Linked DNA regions of Daphnia pulex. The protein of the gene in region 1 binds, or shares a complex with, the protein of each later gene. Links are inferred from orthologs where the notes say so. Each region holds a gene or a part of one and is shown in the gene's direction. Other genes may lie near its edges.

Region 1 (3,894 bases):
TTTCCTCCCTCCTGACGTGATCAATACCTGAGCTACAGATTCCCCCATGCCCTATTTCAACCCCGCCAACGCATGTACAGCTGTGCAACCCCCCACCCATTTGCAATCGTCGCAAAAAGAAACAATTCACTTCCAAATGAACTCACTATCAAATTTTACCACCTGATATCTGCCTCTCATACGAATGCTACTGTTTGGATAAATTAGGGTCAGACTGCTGCATGTCACACAAGATTACTCAAGGTTTACTAGGCAGGATGGTATAAAAAAACCTGTGCTAATTATGAAACGAAGAGAGGAATTTTGAGAACATGCTTTGATTATGAAGGTGTCATGTTTCACCATCCAGAACTTTTATGATTGTGCAACACAGCGGTCTCCTTACCTTGAAATGAACGGATAGCTGCAGTACACACAAAGCAGTAGGAGCGAACTGGAAAATTGTGTCTAAAATGTCACTGAAAAATGGCTGTTTCAAGGAAACTCAGGATTCTTCAATAATTATTGAAAACGAAGGATGTCCCCACACGCACTCGACCCCCCTTTGGGTTCTTCAAAGCAAGTGACACAGATGGTGTAGCCCACACATATCACAATATGAAGAAAAACAAGGTTTCCACAGCTATTTGTAGAAAAAATAAATTGCACTTCACGAAGTTCGGTCTGGAATTCCTCTCTGATAGGCCGCAGATTCAAACTTTAATTTCAAACAGACAATAAACTGTCATGAAACGTAGATAATGTTAGTGTCACAAAAACTCGTTGCCTTTTCACTCGGTAGCCATATTGGAATAAACTGAAAACACCAGAGAAAAGAAGACTGGAGACCCGCAGACGAGGGAATTTTACAGCCCTGAAACTAGCGCTGTTTCAGACATAACGGCCACATAATAATATAGTGAAACACCAACTAAATTAAATAAATACATTGGCCTATGGAATTTGTAGTTAAATGAAATCGATAAAATATCATACAAATTTATATTAAGCATTCTGCATTCATTAAAGAAATACATGAAAATTTGAAAAATTTGAAAATCAAGTCTAAAACTTTGAGTTGCAATTTCCCTGATTTTATTATTTCGAAAACTGCGTTCAAATATTTTTAACAAGTAATTTAAAAAAATATATTAGACTTTGATTGTCTTTTCTCTTTCGACTTAAACGGTTTAAGTTATCCAAAGTTTTCATTAAACCATTCAAGGAGGCGCTGCTATCGTTTGACGAATACCCAGTCTCATTTTCTCTCTTACGTTGTAAATCGAAATATCGAATCGAAAGTTTGAAAGTTAGGTATCGATTCTAGTCCAAGCTTTTTTGACAAGTAAACAACGTAAATCGTACATTCGTACGTGAATTGTCTTGTCAAATTTAAAATTTGGGCCGAAAAATGGTTCCGGGTAAAGGTAATATCTCCAAAGGAAAAGGAGCTACAAATGTCAAAGGTTCAACGTCAGCCACTAAAGTCAAAAGGGAAAGAGTTTCAGAACCTGAGGACTCAGATGAAGAAGTTACTCTAGCTGATGTCCGAGCTGTCGACTATGGAAAGGTTTTACCTCGTTTCACATCCAGTAAGAACTAATTTTTTTTGTTTTTCTGTTGGTTTTCTAATTAACAAAGATATAAATATAATCAATTGTTTATAGTTACGGCTAGATCAGAAGAAGGGGGTGTTATGATGGATGATTTGGACACCTTACAAATGGAACTAGAAACACTACTCAATTGTGTTGTTTTGCGTTCCTTAAATTTACAGAGAGAAATTGCAGGAATGACTGAAAAGGTATTCATCAAAGTTTTTTTTTCATCTTGTGTCTATTTTCTGTTTGCCAACAACACTATGTGTTTTTTTTTAGCCTCCATCTCCTGGAAAACGATCAAAACAAGAAGAGCGTTCACCTAAAAAGTTCAAAGATCAACCAGGAAAGCTTAGAGATGCACACACACCTCCACTTTTAAAGCAGATGAAAATTAAATCTGCTCTAGCTGTACCTAGTTTCATGAAAAGTAGTTTTATTTACAGTCAAGTAATGATCTCTTTGATTTTATAGAAGCCTATCCCACCAGAAGGAGTTGTTGAGGAAATGCCTCCTTTAGAATTAATGAAGACATCAACTGCCAAAAATGATACACCAAACAAATTTTGGGCTTCTGTAGAACCATACTGTGCTCTTTTTACAGATGATGATTTAAAGGTAAAATGATTTGTATAAGATTAACATAACTTGGAATTAAATTTTTTTTCTTGTGGTAATTGATGTTTTAACTAAAGCTAGTAGAAGAACTAATCTCAACTCATAATGAGGATGAAGAATACCTCAAAATTCCTCCTCTCGGTCGCCACTATACACTTCGGTGGGCAGAAGATGATTTACTTCAGGAGCAAAGAGAGGGCTCTCGTTTCGGCGAGAAAAAGAAGATTACCTCTGGATCTTCTGTAGGAACGGAAGAGGCTCAAAGATTAATGGACACAGCAGCTAAAAACAAGTAAAAAATTAATATTTTTTTTTCTAATAGCCGCATATTGCTTAACGATAGATTTAATAACTCAGTGCTGAAACAAATACTACATCTGCGACGGGGATGTGCGGACCCATGACCCAGCGTCTCATTTCAGCTCTTTTAGAAGAAAATATTGTAACTTCTGTGCAGGACACAATGGAATCAGAAGGGCAAGGTATATTGTTCATTGTTTTCCTGTTTAAAACTAATGCCAACTAGCGGTTCGAAATTACTGTAACAGACGAAAACGCGAAATCTACTGGCACGAAGGCAGCAATGAATGGACCTCAAGCTGCTGCACTTGAACGTCGTATTCGTCAAGAGTTAGAAGAACAAGGCATTTTAACTTCCGAAGAAGCCAACGTTAATTCGGTAATTTATTCATTCAAAACACATTTCAGAGGTAGTATTATTAACCCCCTGATTAAGGCCGATGATGAAATATTGACGGAGTTACGTCGATGCCAAGGAGAATTGAGGGCCATATCACTGCACAACTTGAAACAACTGAAACGACTGTACCGCCTCAGTCAAGAAGAAATGAAACGTCAGGAAATACGGAAAAAATTGATTGCAGCGGACGCTGAGGTATTCATTTTTCAAGTGTCATCTCTGCTTATCGAGCTCGTCTACATTATTCCCAACTTCTTTTGAATAGGTATTAGACGTATATCGTAAAATGGCTGCCGCTAAACAAAAAAAACGCCCGTTAAGCAAAAAAGAAAAAGATCAGATGTGGAAAATACTTCGTGATCGTGAAGCGATTGTCAAACAGCTGGACACGGGAACGACTAGTATGTAAATATTTTTTCAAACAATACAAGACGTGTGTGATGAAGATGAACTAAGATGGTTAATTGAACTTTGCATAACAATATAAACTTTTAACAAGCCTTGTTTATTACTTAAATCAATTAGCATGTATTCAACAATGAAAAGTTGAGGTTACTTGAAGTTGATAAGAATTTAATAAGAATTCTTTCAACTTCTCCAAAACTGAGGATTCAATTCTAGTTTTCTAATAAAGTTAGTGTACCAGTTTCTTAAAACAGACATTGGGATGAAACTTTCTGATGGATTTGGTGTCATTTGTGATTGAGTAACAGCAAAACTTGCTGCATAATTGAAAAGATTTTGAAGAGTACGTTCAGCAAACTCCTGGAATGTTGTGGTGCTACTAGGCTCTGTAATGGCACTAGGAGATTGATTGGAAATGAGGCTAAGAGGCTCAATTGAAATCCCTATTTGAGCATGATGATGTATTTCCCCCTGGTGCACCCCAAACATACTAGGGCTATAACTTCCCGGATTCTTCTTCAAGCCAGTGATTTTGTAAATGCTTGACGGTTTGTTATTGGTGAGGTTACCTAGTAGTTGCCACACTGGTGGGGC
Region 2 (4,156 bases), on another chromosome or scaffold:
GCCTAAAGATCGGATTACTTTACTGCATCAAGGATACGGATTCATAGAATTCCTCAGTGAAGATGATGCTGACTACGCATGTAAAATTATGAACATGATAAAGCTGTATGGTAAACCCATTCGGGTAAACAAAGCATCAGCACACCAGAAAAACTTAGATGTTGGAGCAAATATTTTCATTGGAAACTTAGATCCTGAAGTTGATGAAAAACTTTTGGTAACCAATCAGCATTCCTTTAGGTTCAAAACACAATTTAATCTATTATTGCTTTTTTAGTATGACACATTTTCAGCATTTGGCGTAATTCTTCAGACACCAAAGGTAAATTTGAAATCATTGTTGGGGTTTTAAATTTTACTATTTTGTTTTTTTGAATGCAGATCATGAGGGATCCTACAACAGGGAATTCAAAAGGCTTTGCATTCATCAACTTTGCCAGTTTTGATGCATCTGATGCTGCCATTGAAGCCATGAATGGCCAATATTTATGTAATAGGCCAATTACTATATCATATGCCTTCAAGAAGGATTCTAAGGGTGAACGCCATGGATCAGCAGCAGAAAGGCTTCTGGCAGCACAAAATCCTCTTGCTCAGACAGATCGGCCTCATCAACTTTTTGCCGATGCCCCTCCTATTCCTCCGCAAATGAGCAACATGGGAATGTCAGGATTGCCTCCACCTCCCCCACCTCCGTTGCAAGGACTTACAATGGCGATGCCTCCACCTCCTCCTCCACCACCCACCTGGGCTCCTCCACCTCCACCACCTCCATCTTCGAATTTTCTTCCGTAAATATAATAGTGATTAGATTCATATGAATATTTACTATATAGAATCAACATTCATATTTTAGGTTAGCTCCGATTCCGCCGCCCCCGCCTTCCTGGGCGCCGCCGCCGCCACCACCATCAACTGGATTTGTTCCAATTCCACCTCCCGTTTGATTTCGTTTATTCATTTCATGTATGTCTGAAATACAAAATAAAGTAATAAACACATTTCTTTGACTTTGCGACTGTTTTGGGATCTGCTTCGAGATAGTTACGCTTATGTTGAATCCATTAAATCGTAAATTAAAAACATCAGACTAATTTTTTTACGAATATTTTATTCGATCAATTAGCTCTGTTATGCAGTAAAGAATTAGTTCCTTTCTGTTTTGTAAAGTGTAACTAAATGTACGCTAACAAAATTACAAACTGACTCTTGAATTGCTTTTACTCACAGATGGCTCCATTTTCTGTCCATTTCCGTATTTTTATTTCACCCAACAGATGGTGCTACATGACTCGTTTGTTCTCGATGAGTGAATGATTTTCATGTGTTGCGGCCTGTTTTTCATTTCAGCAATAAGCATGATTCTTTAGTCAACTTTTAAGTTTTAAATAGTAAATGAAGCAGTCTGGCTCTGTGGTGAAGCGTACAGGCGTTTATTCTGAATTTTATTCAATCCGTTCATAAATCTGCTTAATGATGTTAGCTGTTTTCTAGCTTGTCATTATCTATAATACCTTCTTTAAACAATGTCAATCTTGAGTAGCCTATATAAATTGTTTTTGAACCCTACCTGAGACGCTACATTTGAATTGACGTTACCACACGACTTCGTCAACTACAGGTGAGGAGTCTGAGCTTTTTCATTTTTTTTTGAACAATTTTTCAATGTTGTTCATTCATTTAGATAAAATGGGGCCTTCTAATGCGGTACCTGGGTTGGATGTTGTGGCCCAAATGAATACTTTTACCTCTTTTGTTTCAATGCTCTCCGATCCTGGGGCAAAGGATGAGAACAAACTAAAAGCAGCCCAAGAGCTAAGTGAAAATTTGGAAGTCATTGTCAGTTCCCCACAGTATCCAGCATTCTTGGATCATGCTATGAAAAATTTTCTCAAGATACTGCAAGACAGTGAACCACTCTTCATTGCAGAGTACAACATTCAGCAAGTCCGAAAATTGATTTTGGAAATGTTTCATCGTCTTCCCACCAATGAACACTTAAGGCCATATGTGAAACAATCACTTAACCTCATGTTCAGATTACTTGAGAGAGAAAATGAAGATAATGTGCTGATATGTCTTCGAATCATAATTGAACTTCACAAACAGTACCGTCCCCAATATAGTGTGGAGATCCAAACTTTTCTACAATTTGTCAAAGGCATCTACCGTGACCTACCGAATCAACTAAACAAGATATTTGAACCAAGGAGCCCCATCAAAGTTAAAGATTTAAGTGAATTAAACATTGAAGCAGTACTTGCTGAAACATTTACTGCCACTGTTGTTCTCACAGAAACACGAACTCCTGATGGAAACAACATATCATATAATTTGATACCAAAAGGAGTGTTGTCGTTGAAAGTTTTGCAGGAACTCCCAATAATTGTGGTCCTAATGTATCAACTTTACAAGCATAATGTTCATCAAGATGTAGCAGAGTTTATACCTCTCATCATGACTACAATTACCCTTCAGCCATCAGCCCAGCACAAGGCAAATCCTGCATTTAACAAAGAAATTTTTGTAGACTTCATTGGAGCCCAAATCAAAACGCTATCTTTCCTGGCCTACATCATTCGCATTTATCAAGAAGCTGTTGCTCAACAAGCTACTCTAATGGTTAAGGGTATACTGGGACTCTTAAGTCTGTGCCCCATGGAAGTTGCTCATTTGAGGAAAGAATTGCTGATAGCATCAAGGCACATCCTGGCAACTGACCTCCGTCTTCATTTCATTCCATTCATGGAGCGCTTATTTGACGAAAATTTACTGTTTGGCAAAGGTTGGACAACTAATGAATCTTTAAGACCTTTAGCCTATAGTACGTTAGCTGACCTCGTTCATCATGTTCGACAACACCTTCCAATGCTTGACCTTGCTCGTGCAGTTCATCTATTCTCAAAAAACGTTCATGACGAATCGCTTCCAACAAGCATTCAGACTATGTCTTGCAAGTTATTGCTGAATTTGGTGGAGTGCATACGACAACGTTCAGATGTTGAAAATGGACCTGGAAGAGAGTTGCTGATAGAAATGCTTGAAGTTTTTGTTTTAAAATTCAAAAGCATCGTGAAATTACAGTTGCCTATTTTAGCTGGGACAAAGAACAAGCAAGACAACAGTGGAACAAATGCAACCCCTAGTACTGAGCCTCCTTCTTCTCCTTCGTTAAGTTGGTCACAGAATGGAGCTGCACCACCGTCATCTTCACCGTCATCTGCGAATGAAACGAAACCGGAAGATACTCGGTCATCTTTAGTTCTTCTAGATGAAAAAGAGAAAACGATGAAGTTTGCTGTTCGAGTTGCGGGACCTGTCTTCAGCATCACTGAATGTCGAAGCTTAGTTAAAACGCTTGTGTGCGGTGTGAAAACCATCACCTGGGGATGTGCGGCCTGCAAAACTCCACTCGATACTACGACTAGTGTTGCTACTACAGGCAAGAATTTGCAACCTAAAGAAACGGTGATATTCATCCGTTTGGTGCAGTGGGCGATGAAAGCACTTGATGTGTACGCCTTAAATATTCCGAGTGCGGTCGGAGCGGAGACCTCTGGCAGTCTTAATAGCACCGTCGTTGGCTTTCCGGTCGGTGGGGCTTCCGCTGCTCGGCCGACTGTTCCAGCACAAACTATTCGCTCTAAAGAAGAAAAAGAAGTATTGGAACATTTTGCTGGTGTTTTCGCCATGATGAATCCGCAGACTTTCAAGGAAGTATTTGCCACAACAATTGACTACGTGGTAGAGCGCATTTACCGCAATAGCGCTTTGCAGGTAGTTGCAAATTCATTTCTTGCAAACCCTTCCACCTCCGCTGTTTTCGCCACCATCCTCGTCGAATATTTGCTGAATCACATGGAAGAAATGGGATTGAACATGGAGCGTTCTAATCTTTATTTGAAGTTGTTCAAACTTGTGTTTGGTAGCGTTTCTTTGTTTGCTGCGGAGAATGAACAAATGTTAAAGCCACATCTACCGCACATTGTCAACAAATCTATGGAATTAGCTTTGAGTGCTAAAGAGCCCTACAACTATTTCCTCCTGCTGCGGGCACTTTTTCGATCCATCGGCGGAGGTAGTCATGACCTCCTTTATCAAGAATTTTTGCCATTGCTTCCGAATCTTCTTCAAAGTCTAAACAGTCTTCAAAGTG
Region 3 (4,186 bases), on another chromosome or scaffold:
GGAAAAGAAAACAAGGCAAGGGTTTACAAAAAATAATGGCCTGACTCTGTATTATTAAATCTCCCGACCATCATCAACCATGTTTTTTTTCTATTTTGGTTTTTACATAACACACACCTTTTTTCCCCCCACGTTTTTACTTCAAACAAACTTGTGTGATGGTTCTTTTTTCTCGTGTGTAGAATTTCTTCCCCCCGTTTCTTTTGTGTATACTCGAACCTCCCCCCCGCCCTTCAAAACTTTTGTATATCAAGCTTTGTGAAACCTTGATTACCTTTTTTTTTTTTTATATACAAATCAATGTAGGTGTTCCACACATTTCTTCTCTATATACCTATTTAGCTTTTTCTCTCCTTGATCATGATCGTGGCCCTCCCAATATCTTTCGAATAATGTCCTAACTTGGATATCGTGTAAGTAACGCTGCTATATCAGGAAATGTACATTTCTTGCCTTGCCCGTTGATTTCATTTCATTCTTTCTTTAATTGGCTTTACTGATACTGATAAGCCTTTGCACTTTGGAAGTTGAAATGAGTGGAGAAATAACGAGAAAAATTTGGATATTCTTGTGAAAAGGCGAATCTATATTGATGCACATGGTACAAATACGAATGACATTTCACAAGAGGTAATTTTTTTTACAGCCAAATTTCAGCAGCTTTTGTCCAAGTGGGAACTCGTGGTGGTAATTAGTTTTCTGGTTCTGGATGACAGCTGACCCAGAATTACCTAGTGAAAGAACAGAACAGTTAGAGACAATTTACACGGCGTCATTAAAACTAGTGAACTTACCTAAGAATCAGACTGCCATTTGCTTCCATGTGACTGCGAGTGGTTGAGAATGGATTTACTTGGAGCGAGCACGCATCTTCCTGCGCTTACGCTTAAGCCTACGCATACGCTTCTTACGCCACTAAAGAAAGAAAGAGCCGGCCATTAGATTCACAAGCCTCGAGACAAGCATCACAGTACACCGATACATGAAACACATAGAATAGGTAGAAAAACGATAATTACCTTAGCTCTCATGATGCAGTCGGTCTCTAAATGAAACAAGGAAAACGAAACAGTCGGTTAGAGATGTTGAAAACGAGGCAATTGTTGGATGATATTGGATTTTGTTAACTCAGTAAAACCAAGAATGAACTTACCTAGGAAAGACTGCAGAGAAGAGTGAGAGAGCCAGTGCCTGATGGTCTCCTACATTGCCTATTTCCGTTTCCACTCCTTTCTTTAAAAATAGTTGAAATATTATATCGTAAAACATATTAAAACCTATATTAATTTGATGCTAGAAAAATTAGCAATTTTATTATGGGTAAAGTATTGTTTTAATTAATATTTTAGTAAATAAATTTGATAACTGGCACAATGCAAACCCGCTGTCGGGGTTGTTTACAACGAAAAAAAAAAGGAAAAATGGAGTTCGATATGAATCAGATATCTCAAACAAGTAATTCAAACGCGAAAATTGAAGCATCTGAAAGTCAAAACAGTGAAGTTCCAAGTGAAAACAGTGCAGTTCAACCTGTAGAACCAGAAAATGTCGACTCCAATACCCTTGCGGCCGTATTACAGTTTCTTCAGAAGCACAACCTGAAAGTAACTGAAAATGACATGATTATTTTTAAATTTCGGCGTCTCATTTATTTACAATGTATTAGGGGACGGCTGATATTTTGAAAAAAGAAGCACGGCTCAAGGAGGATCAATTACGAGATGCACAAGCTCTTCAAGTGGATTCAGAGGCAACAAATTTGCTCTCATCATACAAGAGCGAAGGAGACCCAAATGCCTACGAAAAAGCTTACCTAAGTTACAGGAGATTTGTGGAAAGCTCGCTGGATGTTTATAAAGTATGGTCAAAAGATATTCAACTCAATTTCAAATAATAATTTCAATTTGTTTACTTTTCAGCATGAGCTGTCCCTAGTATTGTACCCTTTATTTGTCCACATGTATTTGGAAATGATTTACAACCAACATGAATCAGAAGCCGCTAAATTTATGGAACGTTTTTCAACAGATCAGGAAGATTATTATCAGGATGATCTTAAAAAAGTTTCTTTTATTACCAAAAAAGAACACATGAAAGGCAGTGATCTCATGGAGAATTTCAAGTAACAAATCACTTTTTTTTTAAATAAAATCGTCAATCATAAAAACTTAAATTGTTAAACAGATCAAGTCAGTTCACCGTTCGAATGTCCCGGGATACTTACTCGGTTTTGAAGCGGTTTTTGCAGGACAAGAACCAATCAATTGTCATGAACGTCATTCAGGAACACTTGTACGTCGACATGTACGAAGGAGTGCCGAGAAATAAAGCCCAAGTTGAATCCACAGCCGGAGCCATGGAAGGCGAGGCCAACAGACAAGGTACACAAATCAAGAGATTAGAAAGAAATCCCCAAAACAATTACCAATTCTTTTCACTTACAGTAAACAAGACCAAAATCTACTATGGTCTGCTCAAAGAGCCCGATATCCAGCTTCCGGTAGTCGAGGAGGAAGAGGACGGAGAACCCGGCGAAGGTGGTGAAAAGCCCAAAAAGAAGAAACCCAAAAAGGATCCGTTGCTCAACAAGAAAGCCAAGAGCGACCCTAATGCTCCACCGGCCAGCCGATTGCCATTACCAGATTTGTAAGATGCAGATGCAGTGAAAAATGGTGTGGAAAAAAAGGAAAATGGTTGAGCTGTGAGTTTCTGTTTCAGGAGAGATATCGACAAACTGGAGAAGGTCAGGGCCCTACGAGAAGCCAGCAAGAGGGTGGCTCTTGGTCCAGACAATTTGCCGTCCATTTGTTTCTACACGATGCTGAATTGCGCGGAAACGTCAGTTATTCTAATTTACCTGATTTTTTCCATTCAATTTGAAATTATAATTTTTTTTCTTTTTCCCTTTTTGTGAATGACAGGGTCACGTGCGTCGAATTCTGCGAGGATTCGTCACTATTAGCCGTAGGGTTTTCCGATTCCATCCTCAAAGTTTGGAGTCTTGTACCCCAGAAACTCCGGGCCATGAAACCGGCCGAGCAATTGGCCGATATCGACAAGGAGGCCGAAGATGTTCTCGTTCGTATGATGGACGACAAGACGGGTGAGACTATGAAAGTCCTTCACGGCCATTGCGGGCCGGTTTACGCTGCCTCGTTCAGTCACGACCGGACGTTACTCTTATCATCGTCGGAAGACGCCACGATCCGGCTGTGGAGTTTGCAGACGTGGACCTGCCTGGTGGTCTATAAAGGCCACATTTACCCCGTGTGGGACGTGAGGTTTTCCCCTCACGGCTACTATTTCTCATCAGTCGGACATGATCGGACTGCCAGACTTTGGGCCACCGATCATCACCAGCCTTTAAGGATCTTTGCCGGCCATTATTCAGACGTTGACGTGGTCCAATTCCATCCCAATTCCAATTACGTCGCCACAGGTTCCAGCGATAGGAGCGTCCGTTTATGGGATTGCGTAACTGGCAACTGTGTCCGGCTAATGACTGGTCATAAAGTAAAAACATTTTCATCCTTTTTATGAGTTTGTTTTTCTTTACAAGTTTTTTGTTTGTGTAGGGAACCGTCTCGGCGTTGTGTTTCTCCACCGACGGCCGTTTTCTGGCATCCGGTGGAGCTGATCAAAAAGTCCTGTTATGGGATCTGGCTCACGGTCACTTATTGGCCGACCTGCCTGGGCACACGATGACAATCTCCAGTTTGGCCTTCAGTCGAGACGGGACCGTGTTCGCCACGTCTTCCCTGGACGGCTCCATCCAACTGTGGGATTTCTTCCGGATGACGGATGAGTCCTCTTTAGAGGACGTCAACATCTCGGGTCACAATCCAGACCTTCTCAAGCGGAGTAACGCCATTGAATCGCTCCGCCTGGCACGTTACCCGACCAAAGCCACTCCTGTCATGTCATTGCATTTCACGCGGAGGAATTTGCTACTCGCTGCCGGCATGTTTGAAGGCTAATCCCTCGATTCACACCAATTTTTAAAAAATAATAATAAGAATTAAAATACATATAACTTTGTCTCTTATTTCCACAGATCCATTTTGTTGTTGTCAAGTCGGGAAAAACCAAATTCTGTCGAGTTGGCTACGTATTTTTCGTAAACGTGCCTAGTGAACCTCGAGACCGCTGTATAAATAGAAGATAATCGACCTGGTTTTTTCCGAGT
Region 4 (2,625 bases), on another chromosome or scaffold:
TTACGGTCCCCCAGGCAATAGTTTCTTTACCACCGTCAATTTCTCACCGACCACAATCCACATTCCAAGGTCCACGGTGCAACGGGACACCCGTGGGTAACATAAGTTAGACAATCGAGAAATATAAACAAACTTTAGAGTGAACGGACTCATTATTGCGTACTAGTCACTACAATCGAACAATTCCATGATTGAAACTTTGAAAAAATATGCAGATGATGTCATCGTCACCAACTCACCAATCTGCAATGCAGTCTGCAGACTTGCACAGTGCAGACGAACTTCCGTGAGGAATGGGAAGCGACGTTGCCCTTTTACGAAGTTCAGAAAATTACCCGAATTCTTTCTAACTTCTCAGTTGTTGATCTCCGTTAGCAAGCAAAGGGCTTTTGTGATTTTGTTTTCATTTAAAAAATCAAAAAACATATTCAAACTACAAACGACAAATATCCTATTCATTAAGGACTTCAGGTTTAAATTAAAATATCTAGCCTTTTATGCTTACAACAGAGTTATAGATGTATAGCTCTGCCATACACGCTGTCATCTATAGCTCTGCTTACAAACAGCGCAAATAGAATCACACTCGGTCTCTGAATTTCGAATTTAAAAAACAAAGCTAACACGCACAATAACACTGCTTGTCAACAACCTTCAATAGATCGAGTTGCTATAAGCAACACGAATGAAGTTTAGATATTTTACCCGGAATTTTTCTTTTCCTTGCGTGGTGCCGTGGTCGACCTAGGCGTATTCTTGGTTTTGTCAATGACTTTTCCTCTAATTCCTCGCGGACCGACGATGAAGTAGAAATTGTAGTATAAAAATGACAATCATTTCAAGGTTTGCGTGGAAATCACAGGGGGATGACAGCAATTTTACAACCAAAAATGACCTGATTCTGAATTATGCGGGGAAAAAACAATGGTCTTTTTTAGTTTTTGTTTCGTAATGCCTATAATGATAATGAATTTGGATTGCCTAACTAATGGTGCAAGCTGATAATGGTGCAAGCTGATATATTCTATCAGTCGGATACGAAGTACTAGTCGCAGCCACCAGATGGATAAGGTTCTGGACATTCCCAACCTAGTACCTGTATACGATTGGTAGAGGCGCATAAAAAAAGGTTATTTTAGCGATTCATTTTAGTTTCTTATCTAGTGTGTTTGGTGTAGTTTGTTGTATTGCTTTGTTTATGCATTCTTCTGCACGAGAGAAAAGTTAATTATTAGTGAAAACTTTGAAAGAATTTAGGATCATACTCTTACCGTGTGTGCTGTTCTTTTAATTCTACGTATATAATTTTCTGGTATATAATGAGTCATAAATTTGTTTTTCAATATTACGGTTTCCTTCTAGTATTGGCTGACAAAGCCTTTGCTCTTCATAAAGTTTTCTGTTTGTGGACAGTAGGTTTTTTTTCTGATATACAGGCTTTAAAGATGGCAGAAGCTGTGCCAGAAGAAGAATTGACCATTCCGAGAGCTGCTATGAACAAAATGATTAAAGAGATTGTTCCCAGTGTCCGAGTTGCCAATGAAGCTAGAGAATTGATTCTTAACTGTTGTTCTGAGTTCATACACCTTTTGGCTTCAGAGGCTAATGAAATTTGTACTCAGCAACAGAAAAAGACTATTAATGCAGAGCATATACTTGGAGGTAATTGTTACAAATGTTGTAAAGTAATGGAAAGGAAAAATAATCTAACACACATGGTTGTAGCATTAGATAGGCTTGGATTCAATGACTACCGTACTGATGCTGAAGCAGTGTTGAAAGATTGTAAAGCTGTTGCTGCCAAAAGGAGGCGCCAAAGTACAAGGTTGGAAAACTTGGGAATTCCAGAAGAAGAGCTATTGAGACAGTAAGTTTTATCACTTTTTTATGATTTAATTAGTCTAATACATATTTTTTAAAATATAGACAGCAGGAATTATTTGCCAAAGCCAGAGAAGAACAAGCTGCTGCTGAGCAGCAACAGTGGCTACAACTTCAAGCAGAGGCTCAAATGTCCTTGCAGCAACAACAGGGAGATGTTCCATCAAATTCAGAAGATGGAGAATACTCTTAGAAGATTGTTTGTGAAATTTGATTCAATACATACAAAATTTGATTTCTAGAATGAGCTTAATGAAGTGTATTTGAAATATTTCTACTGTTGTCTTAATTATTATTTATCAGTACCATCCTAACATTCTTTACTTTTGTACTTGAAGCATTATTTATACTACTCAGATACCTCATATTTGGAAAGAATTTAACTGCATGACTTATTGCATAATTAACAAGTTATTTTTCATTTTGAATGCTTAACAATTCGACAAGCCGCAAATCGACTTTATATCAGTATAATAAGGTTTGAGAGGATAAATAACATGGACAAACCAAGCCTTTGATCGACATCTAAGTGTTACGAGATTACGAGAAATTCAACTTTATCATAGTGGTATTGGACAAAAGTACGTGTGTCGTGGTGGAAAAAGAAGTTATATATAAATATGAAAAGGCAAAAGTGAAATTCCAAACATTATTTCTTTTTTCGACTAAGCAATCTTGCTTTCTGTAAAATTGCAAAAACATTGTTAGACCATATCTTAAAAGTAGAGCAAATAAACTGGACGA
Region 5 (3,154 bases), on another chromosome or scaffold:
TGCATTTTTGGGGAGAGGGGGGGTCGGAGTGAAAGTTTATGCGGAAGGGCCTTTTCTTCTATTATAAAAGTATTCCGACTACAATAATCCTTCGTATTTTATTTCATCGTCGTTTGCTCCTTTTCTCTCCCTTAAGTTTTACTTCGACGTCTTTATGCAAGAATAATCCGGCAGTCTTCCTCATCTTCTTGAAAATAACTTGGAACGTAGTTCTCTCTGTCATTAATCATGTACGACGTATTACATTGTGTAATATAGGGAATTCTTCGTTGCCTACTCTAATCAATTAATAATCCTACTTTCTCCTTCATATTTCCTGTACGCCCATCTTTTTGCCCGGCATTTTTGTCTATTCCGCTCTTAATCAATTATTACGTTCCTGAGCCAACACTTATTGATGGCGGGAGTCGGTAGAAAACCTTTTAATTATGAACCATGCAGGCCCCCGTGTTCTTAAATATTCGTATATAATCATTCAGGCTGGCTGGTTGGTTGTGCTGCATCGCTCGCTGCCATCTGTTTTATTCATTTGGCTGGCATTAACCATTCCGATGATTCGCCGAGGTGGTGCCGTGCAGGACTGCCGGATGTTGGAGATTACGAAATCTCTAGCGCCTTGTTCGTGCTCAGACTTGTGTGCGGTTTTGAGCGAAAAAATTATGTTTTAAAAACAACTTCCTGGAAATGAAGAGAAATCCAACAAACGTGGACTAGGGCACTAGGCCACACTCTTTTGCACAATGATTTGTGTAACGTTTTTGGGACTCCAATTAGTATTAATTTATTCGTTTTGATTTTTGTCTGATAGTCTAGGTCAAATCCGGCTGGGAAAAACTGGTACAAAATTGCCAAATGAATATTTTTCGAAAAATGAAATTTTCAACGAAAATCACAACAGCAAGTCTGGCAACGTCGTTACACTTTACTCTAATATCATTTGAAAATGGCGGCCGCCACAGAGATCAGTGACGAAGATGCCGCTGTTTTGCAGTTCCCAAAAGGTAAAAAGAACTATAATTTCCTACCCAGTTTACGGTTTTGAGCTTCCCTGTGTTAGGCTTGATATGTTTTCATAAAGGGATTTACAGTTATTACAGTTAATTGCTGTTAGGCTAGACCTGGCTAAGAACTGCACGTTTCGTGAACGTTTAATTCATTTGCAACGAATTTCTTAGAAATGTCGACTGATGAACCATGTGGAAATGTGTGGCCGGCGACAGATTGTTCCCAGACTCGAGTGTGTTTCATTTGTCAGACCCCTCTGACTGGAGTTTACATCAGGTGCGAGGAGTGTGTCAGAGTGGACTTGTGCCCAACGTGCTTTGCCAAGGGAAAGGAAAGCAATCACCATTTGAACAATCACAGCTACAGGGTCATACGAGATGATTTCTACCTCTTTGACAACTGGACTGCTCGGGAAGAACTCACTTTGCTGGATCAGTTGTCTACGCATGGGCCATCAAATTGGACGGAGGTTGCCAAACGCTCCAAAGCCAGTCCTGAAGAATGTGCAAACCACTATAACAAGTGGTACCTTGAAGACCCAGTGGAACCTCTACCAAGACCGAAAAGTCCAGAGAGACTGTACAGGCCTCAGCCTATCGTCTACAGAACCGGAACTCACGACCCCCCTAGGCCTGTTCCTGGATCAGTTTACCACAGAGACATGGCCGGTTACTGTGCTGCTCGAGGAGATTTCCAAGTGGAAGCCTTCCAGAATGCAGAATTTGACGTGGCGTCGTTACAGGATGAAACGAAACCCGATCCCGACGAAGAAATCGACCAAGAGGCTTTAGAACTCGAACGTGCATTGGCCGTGGCCGTGGTGCAAGTGTACAACGACAAGTTGCGCGAGAGATTTCGAAAGAAACGTATCGTCCAGGAACACGGGTTGATCAATTTTCATCGTCATTTGGCGGCTCGTTATCGCTACGACTCTACGCTGACACATCGCATTTGTGAGCGTCTCTCGGTGTTTTCCCAGGTGTTCAAATTTCAAGACCACTGCAGTCTCTTTGAAGGCTTGCACGGACATGTCGAGTTGCGGCAGCGAATCCAGCAGCTGCAAAGGTACCGCCACTTGGGGATCAAGACTCTGGCGTCGGCCAAAATCTACACGCAGCTTCAGGCTCGTCGTGAGAAGCACATGAAGCAGTGGAAGCAGTTTTCGGCCAACCTTCACGTGGCGTTCCCCGTCCAGCAGCAGCACCAACAGTTGGTGACCTCAGCCCTGCTTCAAGGAAGCAACGGCAACGTTCTAGTCAGCCCGGCTGGCCCTTTCCCACAGCAGCGAAGGAGCGCACCGCCGCTGGACATTGTCGGTCTGCCCGGTTACGACAAATTGAACGAAGGCGAACGTCAGTTGTGCTCCGTTTCACGTCTCGTTCCCGAGTCGTACATGGAATTTCGAAACATTCTCATCGCCGAGTGCCGCAACCGCAAAGGCATTCGGCTGGCTCAGGCCAGGACGTTGATCAAGATTGATGTGAACAAGACGCGCAAGATCTTTGATTTCCTCCTAGAAGAGAAACTAATCTACTTCCCCGCTTGATTTATGGCACCACTTGTTATAATAATGTTTTGTACAGGGGGCAGAGAGACTGAGAGAGAGAGGGGAAGAGGAGATGAGCAATAAACTTGCGTTATACAGTCAAGCCTCATGTCGTTTTAGCGTGTTGAAATCATCTCGAATTACCTGTTATATATATATATATATAGATATATAGATGTGTGGGCTTGTAGTCATGGGAAGCTCATGCAGGTTTGTTTTCTTAGATCAGCAGGAAAAGAAAGAAAAAGAGTCGACAAACGAGTGGGCACTAGTTTAGTAGTTTGCACAGTGAACCATCCCTTAATGCGGTTTCATTCTTCTGTCTCCATTCCACATCATTACAGAGTTCGAGAATGCGGAAACATTGCTGATATCTGAAGTCCACATGTTGCTGGACCATCGTAAATTACAGAATGAAAGCGCAGAGGACGAGCAGGAACTGTCGGAAGTCTTTATGAAGACGCTTAATTACACTCAGCGCTTTAGCAAGTTCAAGAATCGTGAGACTATCGCCGCCATTCGCAGGTTGATGCTCTTGAAAGTTTGATTTGTTTGTTTGTTTTTTCCCGGAATGAATCAATGACTTCATTCCCAACTTTTTCC
Region 6 (3,367 bases), about 2.4 Mb from region 1:
CGAAAATTCCATTTTGACAAGCTCCATTGCGAAAACGCGCCCTCAAGACATCTCGACTGGAAAATGACTGCAAAACCACTGCTCACACCATGAACGCTGCATCAACACCATTGGCAGCTCCAACATCAAACTAACCAAGAAATCCTGTAAATCAAGTTCAAAGGAAAACAATGAACCAATTACATTTTCAAATACAAGAAAGGGTTAATTTCTGTTTTATATTTAAAAAATACAATTCTATTGAGCAAATCTTTTCACAAAAGCTCTTAATTAGAAACATATAGTTGTTGTAAAATGTCATCTAAATCGAGAATTCAATGTCTGACCTGATTCCTGACAAAAATCACATGTGTAGCACACACTTTTAAAGTAGACTAAAATATAGGCAAATTCTAACCCACTCGAGTGTTCTAACAAGTTAAGTGCATGTCTGTGAAAGCTCTTGGCATAATTCAACTGGAAATTGAAACAATTTGCAAAACAAAACGTAATGAAGCTCAGGCTTTACTGCTCAACAGTTAATAGAAAAATTTAAATTACTTTTTGAAACAAAGTCACACAATTTTAATTCAGAAACAAAGTCTTGAATTAAAAAGTTAAGCAATAATTACTTTTTACTGTTCTGCATGGAACGAAACGTGCAACATTCAGCAAGAGACGACATTGTGGGAATGTACAGCAGGCCACATGCGATTACCAATTATGAATTGAAGACAATGTTACACGTTTTGAACCACACACAAAATTAAATTTTATAAAATTAAAGAATAAAAAATGGAATTACCATGTCTATGATCAACAATGTCACGTAAGAAAGTACCAGCAATGACTAAATTTTACCTTCTCGGACAGCGTCTCGACAGCAAAAGAAAGACTGTTCTGTCAGTCGTCTCAGGACTTTGACAGTTTGATGACCCATCCCCCTACACCCCTCTAGAAACAAACACACTAGAGCTGAATAGTTCAATCCCTAAACACGCTGAAATATTTAGCCACCTAGTGACAGCCCTGAGCATCCACGGACGACTAGAATGGGACGGAAAATAAACGAAATATTCGTCATCTCCGTGAAATACATTTAGTAGATAAAAAAAATTATCGAAAAATTAACAGGTGAGCTTTCTTGGTGGAATAGTTATCGTCAGTCATCACCAAAAAGTTACCACACAATGCCGATACATTTTTACAGGGATGTGCAAAATATTAAAATAACTGACTACAAAATAACTAAATAATTTGAGAGTTGAAAATGATCAAAGGCTATATAATAAAACCACTCGAAAAAAAGGCCTGATTTAGAAATTATTGCCATGGTTATACAATTTGAGCATGCTCATGCCATCTGCTAATGACGAATGGAACTAATACAGTTGATGCCATAGTTGCCATGGTGACGACAAAGCAACTGCCGATGTTACGATTTTCAATTTATTGTTTGGAAGGCTGATTTCCGATGACTGTTTTTAAACTCATCTTCATTAATTTAGTAAGGTTATTTTTCTGTGCATAAAAGATATGTAAATTTCAGAATTTAATTTTCTTTAGTTCTTGGTTTTCTTGGTGGCTTTTGCTTGGATTCCAGTCATCATTGCTGGTTTGAGCTCATCATTTAGGAGAGGTAGTTGTTATTAAACATATACATCATGGCTTTGTCATTAGATTCTGCCACACAGCAAGTCCAAGTAAGGTTGATATAATCAGTTGTTAAGGTATTTACTTAGTTCTAATTTGGATTGGGGTGCAGGAACGATTGAAGGGGATCTACAAGTTGGTCAAGCAGATTCAAGAAGAGAAAGTTCGTAATGAAGGTAACTTAAATGCTGTTATCAAAGCTCATGAAAAACTTCAGTCAGATGACAAAATTTCTCCATATCACAAGGTATTTCTATTCCCATATCACTAATTAATCAGCACTAATGAATGCCTATAAAATTATCAGTCTAAATTAAAAGGACTGTATTGCTCTGTGGTGGCTGATGCTGAAAAAGAAGAGGACCTTATTCGTAAGGCATTAAGCAAAATCTATGAAATTCGCGTTATCAGACATGAAAGGAGAATTCAGGTTATTCCCAAGAACGTAAACTTAGAAAATTTCACCTAACATTGTACTAACATTCTTGTTCAGGCAAAACAAGCTGGCAGTAAGGAAACTATAAGAAGAGGTGCTCTCATGAAAATGCTTCTCGTTACTGCTCAAACTCTCCCGCTGTGGATCAGTAAGTCAGGACAACAGCCACCAGCATTATGTGGAGCAGTTCCAGCTGACCCAACTTACGTTGCCAAAGTATTACATTATTCGAATGTCATAAACTGTTAATTGACTAACCGAAACACCTTATATGTATGTCAGCTGGGAGATATTGTTGCGGCTTTGGTAAAGAGTACAGACGGCGATGAGAATTGGATTTTGGCAGAAGTCGTTCAATATTTAGCTTCTTCTGGGCGCTATGAAGTGGATGATATTGACGAGGAACAGAAAGAGCGACACACTTTAAGCAAACGCAGAGTAATTCCTCTTCCTTTGATGCGAGCTAATCCTGAAACCGATCCCGATGCTTTGTTCTCAAAAGGAGCCACTGGTAAAAACAAAACAAAAAAATCGCAAATTTTAGCTGATCCGACGTTAGCATATTATTAACATACTAAACATTTGTTTTTAGTCATGGCTTTGTATCCACAAACGACCTGTTTTTACAAAGCGGTAATCAATCAATTACCCCAAACAGCTCAAGATGAATACCAAGTTCTTTTTGAAGATTCTAGCTATACTGAAGGATTCAGTCCGCCTTTGATGGTGGCGCAACGATATGTCATAGCTATCAAAGAGAAAAAGAAATGATTTCAAATACATTTGACCCTTTTTTCTATTCTCTCTTCTGTACAGCAGGATTTGTGTTTTTCACTACTTCTTCCAACCACGTATGAAACATGAAATAGAATCTAAATGGGGGAGTTTTTGAATCCGTAGTCGGCGTAGTCAGAAGGCTTCATTTTATCGGAAACTTTAGGGAAGTTCGGATCTCCTGGGTAAACTGCGGGTCTGGAGCCGAAAATTGCAAATCCTTTCTTGCGAGTCCAGTCCTAAAAGTTAAAATGTAGTATTTTGGGTGCTGTCCACTATTAGAGGCAAATACTTACATGAGAGTTGTACTTCAGATTGTAGGTAATTCCCAAAACCAGCCATCCAGCAAGAAGATATTTACCAACCCAATAGCGAGTAATCTGAGTTTTGTCGCCCTATGAATAAGAAAAAGAATTAGAACACAGATTTTATGAATTATGTAGTAGTCTCACAACCACAAAATGGACAGTTAATTAATTTTTAAAAGTAAAGTGTTTTAGTTCACATTACATCTGCTCGAACTAA
Region 7 (3,984 bases), on another chromosome or scaffold:
CGACCAAACGTGTTGTCAGCCGTTTTGGAGCCACTCATTACGTCGTCAACATAAGCCAAGATAGTGTCCAGCATGTTTTCCATCTGCTGCGAGGCTTCAACAATCTGAGTAAGATCCGAAGCGATGCCCGCTTGACGTTTAACCGAGGTTTTGGTTTTCTGGCAGGCATTTACTGAAAAACAATCAAAGATTAATTCCCAGTATACATACACATTTTCTATTATAATTACATCCAATAGTTTCTGGGTCATAGCATGCTATCTCAACAGAAACAGGAGCAAACATGCATCCCATAGTTTTGCCTGTGATACCCATTGGGACACTAGATGATAATTTAAAGATAATTATTTTTCAAAGCAATTGTATCATACTGAATTAATAGCATGTACCTGACATAAGCTTTGATTCCCATACGGGTATCTTGCAATGTGGTGTCCACTGTAATGTGAACAGGATTGGAGGACTCTCTGGAGTAGTACTCATGAATAAGAGCAGAGTGAGATGTGACTCCAGTACCAGTTGCCCACCAACCTACAATGCTTTCTTGGGGATTAACTTTACGATGCAAGTCATACATATCCTTGGCAAAGTCCAATTCCACAGCCACTTCTTCTTCTGATTCATTGTGAGGCACACAAAAGCAATTGGTCACTTCCACACCATTTTTATCTGATGTGCCTGGAAAAAATCAATATGAAAAATGAGTTATCACAACTTCGATTTCGCATATTATAGGAATTTAGGTATATAATCCAAAGATTTTGTCAGGTACTCGATACCGATACACGTGTCAACAGTCGAAAAAACAATAAAACGCGAAAGCAAACGGATGATCTAAATTGTATGTTACCAAGCAACGTTCCAATTACTCTCTGTGCATCAGGATTACGACGCTCATAAGAGTCAATAATCTGAAATAATACAACAGGATGCAACTTGACAGTCAGATTGAGAGCCATTTTGCGTGACTTTTTTTGCAGACCACTACCGCATTGGAGCTGAAAAAGCCGACACGAACTAGTTGCCAATTGGTGATATATAATACGTTGAATTATTTCTATTTACCAAACACGTCTCGTTATACATTAAAAAAAATTTAATTTAATAAAATGTACGGTGTACATTGTTTATAAATTTTACACGTCATTTTAATTATTTTTTAAAGACTTCTCACTTCTCAGTCACCAGAGGGCGCGACCAATGCTTTCGCTAGCGTTGGCATAGCTTAGTTGTTCTTGATGGGAAGGGAAGGCTAAAGATGGCGGGTAAAAAAAAATGCTCTCGTTGAATCCTTATTTTCGAAAATTGAAAATCTTTCTTTCTGTATCCATTCCTCAGATTTATTTATGAAGCATCGATGTGGCTACTGTCAGGACGACATCCTTGGCATTCGAATCCGATGTAACGTTTGTGTCGATTACGAACTTTGTTTACAGGTGTGGTATAAAATCTTCGTTGAATGAATCCCTCCCCTTCCTTCTTTGTTGTTTGTTATGACGCCCACCGGAGTGGTATTGCCGGTTGGTCGGCGGCGAATTTGAATTATTTTAATAACACAGTTTTGCAATGTTTCTTTCTAGTGTTTCTCTCTTGGCTGTGAAATTGGACCACATAAAAGTAGTCATGGATATAGATTAATAGTGAGTATTTAAGTTTTTCTATCAAACTCTCAATAAATACTTTATTTTTAATTTCTAGGATCCTGGTACTTTTAGTATTTTTCCTGACCAACAAAGGGAGGATGAAGGTGGCTGGATTGCAAGGGAAGACTATCAGTTACTTGATGCAATAGAACAGTTTGGTTATGGAAATTGGGAAGATGTTGCGAAACATGTAGAAACACGGGATTCAGAAAGTAATTGTTGATTTTTATCAGGATTTTATCATCAGTTACTCTCCAATTATGTTTTTTTTACAGAATGCAAAGAACAGTACTGTGATAGATTTGTCACAGGAACAATAGGTAAACTAACATGGCAAGGGCTTCCAAATGGACTTCTCGCAAGTGGAGAGTCTCGCTTGGCAGCAATTGATCACACTTGTCCAGATAATGCACCTCTATCTCCATCCATCACATCACGACTACCACCTTTAGCTATTCAACCTGAAGAAACATTAGAACTTGGATACATGCCTCAAAGAGATGATTTTGAAAGGGTGGGTCTTAATTTGTCATGAAACAAATTGTCTTAAAAACTTCAACATTATTTTTATTTTTTGTAGGAACATGACAATGAAGCTGAGGCAATTGTTTCTCATCTTGCCATTAATCATGACGACGAGGATATTGATTTGGCTCTAAAACTGGCTCAAGTCGATATGTATACTCGCCGCCTGAGGGAAAGAGCCCGAAGGAAGCGGGTTGCTCGGGATTTTCAACTGGTATCCCAATTTTTTAACGCTATCAAGAAAGAGAAGGAAAAACCTACGACTGCCGCAAAAAAAAGGGAGTCCCAAAAGGAAAAGTAATTCATGTTTCAATTAGTTAACTATAGATTCATTACAAACAGTTACATTTTTTTCCTTGTACAGAGAAACGCAAGAAAAATTTCGTTCGTTTTCCCAATTCCACACGGCACCTGAGCATGAGCAATTCTTACGCAATCTAACTAAAGAGAGAGCTTTGCGATTGCGGATTCGAGAACTAATCAAATACCGTAGGAATGGATTAACTCGACATGAGGAATGTACTGAATATGAACGACTGCGATACTTCCGTGAAAGAAAGAAAGAAGCCCGGTTGGAGCGCCAGCGCCGGAAATCCGTAAGCAATTTTCCCAGTCTGTACTATTGCTTGCATAGTTTCGTCAAGCGATAGTAAGAGTGTGCGACTGGTTTATTTACCTGTTAATACTTCGTTGAAATGAATCATTATTGGTGGTGTCCATTGGTTGAATATTCGATTTTATTTTTTTACTTATGTGTCTTTATTTTAAGTATCTTACAAGCTAGTTAAATTAGAACCCAAAAAAGACTGGAAATTGAACAATAGACTTTAACGTAGGGAAGCAGTGGACCGGGGCCGATTGTACAAAACCCTGGGACACTACACAAGTCAGAGTAAGCTTTATTATTTCCCCTTTTTTACATACTATGTGCAGTTTAACTCATCAGTTACCTGTGATAGCTTTGCATTATATTACGAAATCTCAACTATATTTCTTAGTTCTTAGAATTGTTAAGTAAATTCGTGGCTTATGTATGTAACTTGTTTTTTTTGTTTTTTTTTTTTTTTTCGCAGCAACGCAAGGGAAGAAGTGCTACTTTCAAGCTTTCGAGACGCAAAAGTCACCTCCTTCGGCAGCAACAACAACAGCAGCGTCCTCAGCGTTTCAAGCAGTCTGCCTCGACTCGGGCCCGTACTCTCCGCTAATACCCGACTTTCACAGTCAGAATGGCAGGAGGCAGTTGCTAATTTCCTCGCCAAGAGCGACGATCTCACTTTATGTCCCGGTTCAGAACTGCTCAGTCCTGCTGAAAAGCAAGTCAGTGAAACGATTATTATAATTATTATTTTTAAAGTTTTATCCAATAATTGTTTTCCTTTAAATCTCAGATTTGCCAAAATCTACGTTTGAGACCATTGTACTATACGTCATTGAAGGCCAATCTCATATTGGTAAGTCGAATCATTCACTCTCTTGATTTATTCACTTGAAATAAAATACAAATCTTTTTCTCAGAGTGGGACCGACAAGACTCCGCTCCTACCCGGCCTGGCTGCTGACGAGCAGTCTATGATTGTAAATTATTTTACGAAAGCCGGTTTTCTGTCTGTCGAGTGAAAACAGCAATTTTGTGTTGAAAAAATATGTGTCTTTTTTGAATAAAGTTCAACTGTTTTTTTTTAAACGAATTTCCAATATTCATTTCATTTTAGTTTTGATAGATTAGTTAAATTTTACGAATAATTTTGAGTATATTAATATAATTTGCATGATAAACCTTTTTTGTTTGATCAGATAAAAGATCACCTGATTTTTT

Evidence for each region.
Region 2: transcriptional adapter 3-B-like (region 1) and transformation/transcription domain-associated protein-like share a complex: the UniProt entries of both Homo sapiens proteins name them as parts of the TFTC-HAT complex. The link is inferred for Daphnia pulex from reciprocal best matches to the Homo sapiens genes TADA3 and TRRAP.
Region 3: transcriptional adapter 3-B-like (region 1) and transcription initiation factor TFIID subunit 5-like share a complex: the UniProt entries of both Homo sapiens proteins name them as parts of the TFTC-HAT complex. The link is inferred for Daphnia pulex from reciprocal best matches to the Homo sapiens genes TADA3 and TAF5.
Region 4: transcriptional adapter 3-B-like (region 1) and protein Dr1-like share a complex: the UniProt entries of both Homo sapiens proteins name them as parts of the ADA2A-containing complex. The link is inferred for Daphnia pulex from reciprocal best matches to the Homo sapiens genes TADA3 and DR1.
Region 5: transcriptional adapter 3-B-like (region 1) and transcriptional adapter 2-alpha-like share a complex: the UniProt entries of both Homo sapiens proteins name them as parts of the ADA2A-containing complex. The link is inferred for Daphnia pulex from reciprocal best matches to the Homo sapiens genes TADA3 and TADA2A.
Region 6: transcriptional adapter 3-B-like (region 1) and SAGA-associated factor 29-like share a complex: the UniProt entries of both Homo sapiens proteins name them as parts of the ADA2A-containing complex. The link is inferred for Daphnia pulex from reciprocal best matches to the Homo sapiens genes TADA3 and SGF29.
Region 7: transcriptional adapter 3-B-like (region 1) and transcriptional adapter 2-beta-like share a complex: the UniProt entries of both Homo sapiens proteins name them as parts of the TFTC-HAT complex. The link is inferred for Daphnia pulex from reciprocal best matches to the Homo sapiens genes TADA3 and TADA2B.

What each region holds. Positions count from the first base shown.
Region 1 is NC_060019.1:11,487,531-11,491,424, reverse strand, and holds transcriptional adapter 3-B-like, read left to right. Parts: upstream 1-1,238; 5' UTR 1,239-1,390; coding exon 1,391-1,571; intron 1,572-1,646; coding exon 1,647-1,783; intron 1,784-1,856; coding exon 1,857-1,988; intron 1,989-2,051; coding exon 2,052-2,195; intron 2,196-2,272; coding exon 2,273-2,487; intron 2,488-2,552; coding exon 2,553-2,677; intron 2,678-2,743; coding exon 2,744-2,874; intron 2,875-2,931; coding exon 2,932-3,090; intron 3,091-3,160; coding exon 3,161-3,304; 3' UTR 3,305-3,394; downstream 3,395-3,894. Other genes in the region: protein OPI10 homolog, read right to left, coding at 3,484-3,894. UniProt on the Homo sapiens protein: Functions as a component of the PCAF complex. The PCAF complex is capable of efficiently acetylating histones in a nucleosomal context. The PCAF complex could be considered as the human version of the yeast SAGA complex.
Region 2 is NC_060018.1:6,526,831-6,530,986, reverse strand, and holds the start of transformation/transcription domain-associated protein-like, read left to right. Parts: upstream 1-1,356; 5' UTR 1,357-1,621; intron 1,622-1,684; 5' UTR 1,685-1,689; coding exon 1,690-4,156. Other genes in the region: splicing factor 3B subunit 4-like, read left to right, coding at 1-217, 278-322, 382-791, 857-947. UniProt on the Homo sapiens protein: Adapter protein, which is found in various multiprotein chromatin complexes with histone acetyltransferase activity (HAT), which gives a specific tag for epigenetic transcription activation.
Region 3 is NC_060026.1:1,543,986-1,548,171, forward strand, and holds transcription initiation factor TFIID subunit 5-like, read left to right. Parts: upstream 1-1,386; 5' UTR 1,387-1,421; coding exon 1,422-1,604; intron 1,605-1,666; coding exon 1,667-1,858; intron 1,859-1,919; coding exon 1,920-2,122; intron 2,123-2,184; coding exon 2,185-2,381; intron 2,382-2,444; coding exon 2,445-2,646; intron 2,647-2,718; coding exon 2,719-2,838; intron 2,839-2,921; coding exon 2,922-3,513; intron 3,514-3,575; coding exon 3,576-3,977; 3' UTR 3,978-4,045; downstream 4,046-4,186. UniProt on the Homo sapiens protein: The TFIID basal transcription factor complex plays a major role in the initiation of RNA polymerase II (Pol II)-dependent transcription.
Region 4 is NC_060021.1:11,079,441-11,082,065, reverse strand, and holds protein Dr1-like, read left to right. Parts: upstream 1-1,153; 5' UTR 1,154-1,312; intron 1,313-1,395; exon of another isoform or gene 1,396-1,436; 5' UTR 1,437-1,445; coding exon 1,446-1,662; exon of another isoform or gene 1,663-1,725; coding exon 1,726-1,867; exon of another isoform or gene 1,868-1,926; coding exon 1,927-2,074; 3' UTR 2,075-2,125; downstream 2,126-2,625. Other genes in the region: uncharacterized protein LOC124194693, read right to left, coding at 2,531-2,563. UniProt on the Homo sapiens protein: The association of the DR1/DRAP1 heterodimer with TBP results in a functional repression of both activated and basal transcription of class II genes.
Region 5 is NC_060028.1:9,042,162-9,045,315, reverse strand, and holds the end of transcriptional adapter 2-alpha-like, read left to right. Parts: intron 1-808; exon of another isoform or gene 809-813; 5' UTR 814-943; coding exon 944-1,001; intron 1,002-1,175; coding exon 1,176-2,551; 3' UTR 2,552-2,654; downstream 2,655-3,154. UniProt on the Homo sapiens protein: Component of the ATAC complex, a complex with histone acetyltransferase activity on histones H3 and H4. Required for the function of some acidic activation domains, which activate transcription from a distant site. Binds double-stranded DNA.
Region 6 is NC_060019.1:9,072,457-9,075,823, forward strand, and holds SAGA-associated factor 29-like, read left to right. Parts: upstream 1-1,366; 5' UTR 1,367-1,486; intron 1,487-1,545; 5' UTR 1,546-1,643; coding exon 1,644-1,682; intron 1,683-1,744; coding exon 1,745-1,879; intron 1,880-1,939; coding exon 1,940-2,062; intron 2,063-2,125; coding exon 2,126-2,284; intron 2,285-2,350; coding exon 2,351-2,579; intron 2,580-2,660; coding exon 2,661-2,839; 3' UTR 2,840-2,867; downstream 2,868-3,367. Other genes in the region: uncharacterized protein LOC124191408, read right to left, coding at 2,941-3,081, 3,139-3,237. UniProt on the Homo sapiens protein: Chromatin reader component of some histone acetyltransferase (HAT) SAGA-type complexes like the TFTC-HAT, ATAC or STAGA complexes.
Region 7 is NC_060026.1:11,481,078-11,485,061, forward strand, and holds transcriptional adapter 2-beta-like, read left to right. Parts: upstream 1-1,184; 5' UTR 1,185-1,258; coding exon 1,259-1,265; intron 1,266-1,338; coding exon 1,339-1,436; intron 1,437-1,580; coding exon 1,581-1,640; intron 1,641-1,698; coding exon 1,699-1,855; intron 1,856-1,918; coding exon 1,919-2,157; intron 2,158-2,223; coding exon 2,224-2,465; intron 2,466-2,532; coding exon 2,533-2,764; intron 2,765-3,004; coding exon 3,005-3,060; intron 3,061-3,241; coding exon 3,242-3,485; intron 3,486-3,556; coding exon 3,557-3,619; intron 3,620-3,683; coding exon 3,684-3,785; 3' UTR 3,786-3,847; downstream 3,848-3,984. Other genes in the region: eukaryotic translation initiation factor 3 subunit F-like, read right to left, coding at 1-172, 231-322, 390-678, 851-959. UniProt on the Homo sapiens protein: Coactivates PAX5-dependent transcription together with either SMARCA4 or GCN5L2.